2 linked regions of the Canis lupus familiaris genome follow. The protein of the gene in region 1 purifies or fractionates together with the protein of each later gene. This does not show direct contact. Links are inferred from orthologs where the notes say so. Each region holds a gene or a part of one and is shown on either strand. Other genes may lie near its edges. The genes, in order: SWSAP1 and SPIDR.

Evidence for each region.
Region 2: the proteins of SWSAP1 (region 1) and SPIDR purify together in Homo sapiens (co-immunoprecipitation; 3 studies listed by BioGRID and IntAct, with this or other methods). This does not show direct contact. The link is inferred for Canis lupus familiaris from reciprocal best matches to the Homo sapiens genes SWSAP1 and SPIDR.

The regions. Positions count from the first base shown.
Region 1 is NC_049241.1:50,348,991-50,352,793, forward strand, and holds SWSAP1 (ATPase SWSAP1), read right to left. Parts: upstream 2,186-3,803; 5' UTR 2,140-2,185; coding exon 1,891-2,139; intron 1,272-1,890; coding exon 774-1,271; 3' UTR 567-773; downstream 1-566. UniProt on the Homo sapiens protein: ATPase which is preferentially stimulated by single-stranded DNA and is involved in homologous recombination repair (HRR). Has a DNA-binding activity which is independent of its ATPase activity.
Region 2 is NC_049256.1:1,369,033-1,372,095, reverse strand, and holds part of SPIDR (DNA repair-scaffolding protein), read left to right. Parts: intron 1-299; coding exon 300-425; intron 426-546; coding exon of another isoform or gene 547-624; exon of another isoform or gene 625-891; intron 892-3,063. UniProt on the Homo sapiens protein: Plays a role in DNA double-strand break (DBS) repair via homologous recombination (HR).

The sequences.
Region 1 (3,803 bases):
CAGAAGATTTGGTGGGCCATTTTAGGGACTTAGCCTAAGAAGTAGTATCTATTTCTTTTTTACAAATGCCACTGGCCAGAAATAGTCACAGGACCCCAGCTAGAACCATGGACAGCAGGGGAAAAAATGCAGTTTAGCAGTACAGCCCAGGAGAGGAAAGTCGTTGAATGAGCCTCTAGCTAGTCTCTGCCACTACGAATAACAATAATTTGTAAGGCTTTATTCTGAATCAGGCCCTGTTCTAAGAAAGTACTCTGATGGGACCAATGTCATCAGGTGGCTTCACTGGCAGTTCTGGTTTAACCACTTTTTAAAAGTTTGACATAACCAAGGAAAGATGAACACATGCAGAACTTCTCTCCCAATTCCACTTCTAGGTGTATACCCTAAAACCCCTCATACACACGAACCAGGGCATGTGTGCAAGAAAAAGTGAGAAGCCTGACCTGGGGCTCGATCCCAGGACCCAGAGATCATGACCTGACCTGAAGTCAGATGCTTCACCCACTGAACCACCCAGGTGCCCCTGAACTAATCGTAATAATAATGCTGAGTGGGAGAAGAAGTCTTAGAAGATTACATTTATCACGAAACATTTTATAAAGTTCAAAACAGCAAAACAATATGTTGATTGGGCATGATAGGTACATGGTAATGCTCTGTTTCAAGAGAAAAAGCACTGTTCTTTAGGTCTTTGAATCTGTACAAGTCCCTGAAGTAAGTATTCCAGCCATGGGCAGTTGAGGCACAAAGAGGGTGTCACACATCAAAGCTCAAGGCTGGCCTCCAGAACTTGAACCTTTGTCTGAGTTGGGGTTACCAGACTGGGTAGGCCATGGGGTGATTGTCATCTCTCCATCTGGTCGGAAAGCCACCCACCACTCTGCTCTAGGGCTCAGCCCACCTGAATCCAGGCAGGCTCGGAGGCCGCGCTGTCCTGGGCCTGGTGCATCCACCTGCAGCCAGCACTGGGCAGGGAAGTACCGCTGGAGCAGCGACAGCTGCAGGCCATCCCCACTCTCTTCCTCTTCCTGGATCTGGAGGGCCACAATGAGCCCACAGCCCTGGCCAGGCCCAGTCCGGTGGCTGAAGTGGGCAGCTGTGTCTAGAAGCAGGGCAGCCAAGTAGGCCGCTTCTTGAGAGTCTTCCACTAGGTACTCCTCCAGGCCATCCAGCAGCAGGAGGGAGGGGGCTGGGCCCAGGGCCTCATGGGCAGAGCACAGAAGCTGAAGGAGTTCATGGGTTGAGGGTGGGTACTGGAAGCGTATCTTCTAAAGTGAGTTAAAAGAGAAAACACTAGGTTCAGCTCAGGAAGCCAGGCTCCCAGCTCCAGCTGCCCCGCTTCCCTGTATTTCCTGTGCTCGGCGCTCACACCCCACCCGGGTAGCTGGTTCCAGAGTGAAGCAGCTCAGAATTGGTGGAATACTCTTCCCTTCATCCCGTCCCCCTTTTTGGGACGCTTTCCCGACCTTTTTTAATTTTCTAAAAAATATTTTATCCATTTATTTATGAGAGAGAGAGCGAGAGAGGCAGAGACACAGGCAGAGGGAGAAGCAAGCTCCATGCGGGGAGCCCGATGCGGGACCCGATCCCGCGACTCCGGGATCACCCCCCGAGCCACAGGCAGACGCTCAACGGCTGAGCCACCCAGGCGTCCCGCTTTAATTTTTTTTTTTTTTTTTTTTTTTTTTTGATGGTTTCCCAGTCTCAACAACGCCTGCTCTGGTCCCGCCCCCGCCCTCCCGTCCCGGCTCCTTCCTGACTCCGCCCCACAATGGCCGCCCCGCCTCGCTCTCCCGTCGTCCCTTCCATTGGTCTGTCTGACTGTCACTCAAGCCTTGATCCGCTCAGGTGCGAACTAGGCCGCCTCCGGTCCCACCCCTCGGTTACCTGTAGCCGCAGGGGGTCGAGCGCCGCTCCGGTCCCGCGAGGCAGGCTTTGGAGAGGCCTCCGGGTCAGGAAGAGGACGGGGCCTCGGCCCTCTCCTGCCGCTTCCAGGGCCGCCGCGAATAGCAGCGCGGTCTTTCCGGAGCCTGGGCCGCCGAGCAGCAGTAAAGGCGGCCCGGCCTCCGCTGTGTACTCCTCCCCGGACTCTGCCGAGCTGCCCTGGTTTAGCACCCGCCTCAGCGTCTCCGCCATTCGCAACGTGCCTCTGTCCGATCAACGGCCCGCCCCCGCCCTTAGTCCCGCCCAACCCGGGGTCTCATTGGTTACAATGCACTTAGCTTCTCCATTGGCTCATGGATCTGCCATCAAAGTTAGATTGGCCTGGACTAGCTTCTCCCCTCGTGAAGGGGCAAATAACAGTCCGAGGGAGGAGGAATGTTGGCATTTGAGGGAGAAAAGACCCTTCCCTTGCGCAAGTCGGCCGAGGGAGGCAGCACGACTATCATTATTGTGAACTAGTCAGCTAATCAAACAAATATAAGTGTTGGGAGTTGAAGGAAACAGGCCCTAATCAGTAACACATTACTTAAAGTCTCCTAGGCTCAGTCTGCTCATCTGTGAAATGGAGCTCCTGACATCTCAGAGGAATATTGTGATGAATGGGTCTGTGTGTGTTTCTGCTGATGTCACCTAATGACAATTGGGAAGGTGAATAATGGAGGAGCTTGTGTGCTTCCTTTTCTGCACCTTAGTATTGGCACAAGCTTGTGTTGGAGGCTGCAGGCTCAGGAACATCCTCGTGCAAAACAGCAGCAGCCACCTCTGAGGGTCTGTGAGAAGAGGAGTCTCAGCTGGCTTTCTCTTTGGCCTGGGAGCTGCTTGGGTTTTACCTGGGGCAAGGGGGTCGGGCATGACCATCAACCAAAGAAAGTGCAGGTAGACAGTCACACAGGGTGGGAGATTGAGGGACAGCCAAGGCAGAGATCTTGTCTTGTTCACTTAAGTGTTTCCATCGCCCAGAACAGCGACTAGATCGTTGTAAATTTTCAATATATGCTTGTTAAACGAATGAATGAAGAAAGGAAGTAGGACTGATGAGAAACTGGGAAAGGAGGAGGAACAAGATGAGTGGTTAAGTGATGGCTGGCTAGGTCTCCTCACCCAGACTTCGCCCTAGAGCTGCCACTCAGCCCGGTTGCTTTGGCAACTCTGTCTCCTGGTAACTTCAAAGTGGTGCTGTTGCCAGGAGACCCAGGGGCGGCGGAACTGATATTTCCTGGGCTTTCTCTCTCCCTCTGGGGCCAGAAAACAGATCTACAACATCCCCCAATACACCCACCCACACAGCCAGGCACCTCCACAGCCCTCTACACACATGCACGCGTGCTTGTGTGCACGCGCGCGCACACACACACACACCATGGCATCTCTGCATATATTCTACTTTCAGAACCCCCATCACCCACATGCTGACAGCCCTATCCTACCTTGACACAAAGCATCCCATATCCACTTCCTCCCACATTTACATCCCCACATCCTTTCCCTTGCACACAGATTAGGACACACTCTGATACAACCAAACAATTGCTATTACACACACACACACACACACACACACTTCCTTTCAGCTAATGTGCCTGCAACTCTTTCGATACACACATACACAAAGCACACTGTTACATTTCTTGTGAAACACACCACCTCAATCCCCCCACCAAGAGATGCACAACCCATGTTTCACCTCAACTTGCAACACTCCAAATGCACAAGCACCCAGTAGTGACACTAGTATCACATAGTCGTGCAGTTACATACATGGGAGCATGCCCAACACAGCCCCACTAGACTCGATATTCCTTTACTGGGAGCACTCAGCTCCTAAATTTCCCTGTGGCTCATTTTCCAACTCCATT
Region 2 (3,063 bases), on another chromosome or scaffold:
CGGGTGGGGGCCTGTGCGCATCCCACTCCACCTGGGGGAGCTGCTGTGCCCGGAGCCAGAGCCAGAGCCGGGAGGGTGGCCCCTCTGCCCCTTCCTGGGGCGGGGCTGGGGTGGGAAGGCCACACACACCCAACGCAGTCTTTCCACACCTGTGGCCTACGGTCACGTTTGACATGAGGCTTGGAGGTGGAAGCTGCTGAAGAGCTGAAGGTGGTTTAGGTTGAACAGCAGCCCCCAGGCGTGGGCGCAGGGCTGCCTGCGTCCTGGGAGCTTCAGCTCCCGCCCCACTGTGATTGCAGCTGTCCCAGACCAGCATTGCTTCACTCCTGAGCTTGGCCGCCTGCGAAGATGGGGTAAGTCGAGCAAGTGCAGCCCAGGGGCGCGCCCCAGTGTTCCTCAGCCCCAGGTTGGTGGATCATCTCCAGGTACAGCCGCCTGTCCCGTGAACTTTCATTTACAACAAAGGGCATGATGCAGTCGCGTGTGGGCTAAGTGTCTAGTGTACACGGCACATGCACAAGTCCTCCTGCTGTCGTTCCCTGGCAGGTACCTGTGTCTCCTCGTGAGAGCCTTTCCTTTTTGGAATTGAGGCGACTTCCTGAACAGCCTTGCACAGATGCGTGAATCTACCCCCCTGGCTTTGATGGTCGGAAGGCCAGCAGCATCTCAAGGGCTACAGTCATGATTCATGTTAATAGAACACAAATATCTGAGACACACATTCTGTGTTTTTTAATTGCTGGGTATTCCAGAGTCTGAGTAACTGGAAACTTGACCATTATTTCTCAGAACTGTTTTGCCTGCCCTGAGAGTTACTATGGTGTGAGGCTTAGTAAACTGGTGTGCTCCTCCAAGAAAACCACCACCTAAATATATATGACTTACAGTCTAGAGACAGTTTCTTCCTTGTGAAATATGCCCCTCGTAAACAAGGGAGCTCTGTCCTTGAGGTGCCACCTCTGTCTTGTCAGAACCATTTAAAAGCACCACAAGTGGCCTGTGGAATCGCTGAACCCCAGAGAAGAGCCCTGGGGCTGACCACTGGGGTGTCGCCAGGGCATAGCCCCTGGGAGCCAGGATTAGGGTGCACATACCCAAGTAGACGACGTGGGCCAGCTGGGGAGGCTGTGGTGAAGTTGCAGAGCCTTCTGATGGGTCCCCCTAGCCGCATGGCAGTCAGAACGTGAGGCTGATGTCATGCATCCTCTGGAGGCACCGGGGGCTCCCGTCTCCCTGTCTGCCGGCCCTGCTCTTAGGAAGGTTGGCAGCAGGAGGAGGCGGAGCAGCCATTTGCACTCATTCCTCAAAACCATGGCTCTCAGAGTTGGGGTTAAATTGGAATGTGGATAAATCCGTGAAGATCACTGGTCTGACTATAGTTTCCAACCTTGATTTTAGGGTGGAGCTGCCTGTGGAGTTCTAAAAAGAGTTTCTGGCTCCCTCCCTGGGAGAAAGCCCAGCAGCCAGGGCATAGCTCCCTAGAGCCCTCGGTGACTCCCCGGCCCAGCACCAAACCTGTATCTGTGGGGCCAGTTCAGTGTAGGGGCTGGTGTTCAGATCAGGCCAGAGGAGGGTTTAGGAGCCAATATGCCCTGATGGTTCACAACTAAAATATAAGCAAATCACTATAATCATGGATGGAGAACTGTGCTCAGCTCTGTTGTCACATGTTACCCAGTGATGCTCAGTCCACATTGTCCCACCAGGAAGCCTGAGCGCAGCGCTCACAGTCACAGTCTTTGTCGGGCACAGCGTCATCCACAGGTGACCACCTAACAGTAGGGGAGGTGTGACGGAGGTCCCTGTTCTTCCTCGAGCTCGTGTGTCTACTGCCTGATGAGACAGTGGTGCCTGTTGACGGTCCCTTGTCACCTCATCTCTTAGCCTTCGAGGTGGGACAGGAAGAAGAAAGAAGGGCGTGACGCCGGGTAGGGCACGGCTCCTGGATTGGAGGGGGCTTTCAACAGGTGCTAAGGATGGCAGATCCCGGTGATCGGGGAAGGTATTTCCATGGAAAAGTTGGGGGATAGTATTGGGGAAAACTCCTGCTTAAGGGGAGCACTTAGCAAATGAACCAAGTCCACAACCTAAACAGAAGAAGCCCTTGGGATGGGTGTCGCCGCCTGTAGTCCCCGCAGCAGAGGCGCGTCCTCCGGTGGCCCCGGCTGGGCCCTCGCAGGCCCCCAGAAGAGCAGCCTGGTGCTTCCTCCGGCAAGCCTCCAGCCGTTCCCTGGCCTGGGGCCCGGAGACCAAGAGGGGCCACGCAGAGATCCCCCCTCCTCGCTTGGTTGCCCTCTGCCCGAGGCTGACTTGTACCTGCCTCACAGAACATTCTTACCTCCAGTCCGCGCATCCGCTGAGCCTACTTACAAAGGGCTCACGAGGGTGTGCGTGCAGGTGTATGTGTGAGTGCGGGCGGGTTTGCCCAAAGGTGTGACCGGTGTGTGCTGTGCGTGTCCATGAGCGGGCTGAGGGGCACAGGGGGCACGTTGTGGGGTGCTCCCCCACCGGAGCTGATGCCCGTTGAGTCAGGGTAGCTGCAGGCCTGGAGGTGCTGCGGCTCGTTCCCCGGTTTGTCACAGTGGGTGATCGGGGCCCCCACCGGGCCCGCAGGGAGCTGCTGGAACGTGGGTACGGGCGGCGTGAGCATGAGTGTTCCCCCCACGATGCGGACTGTTTCCGGGCTGAGAAAGCCCATTGGCCAAAAGCCAAGGACTCGCAGGAGGCTTCCCACGAGAACGGTGGCTCTGGGCCCCAGAACAGACGTACCGTCTCTGGGCAGGACGTCCAGGGGCTGAACTTCAGTGTGCTCACGCCGCAGATCAGAGAGCAGTGGGGTTTGCTGCTGTTGGAATGTCATTTCTTAACTGTCACGGACGGTGATAGGAAATTGGGAGTTTGTTTCCTTAGCTTTCGGGGAAGAAAAGGGATTGGCTATGATATGGTTATTATGAACTTTAGCCACAAAACCTGACGTGGTAAAAAAAAAAAATGACGTGTTGCTGACGTTTTCAAGTTAGAATTCTGTACTTTTACCCCGAGGGAGGGTGGGAGTGCCTGGGC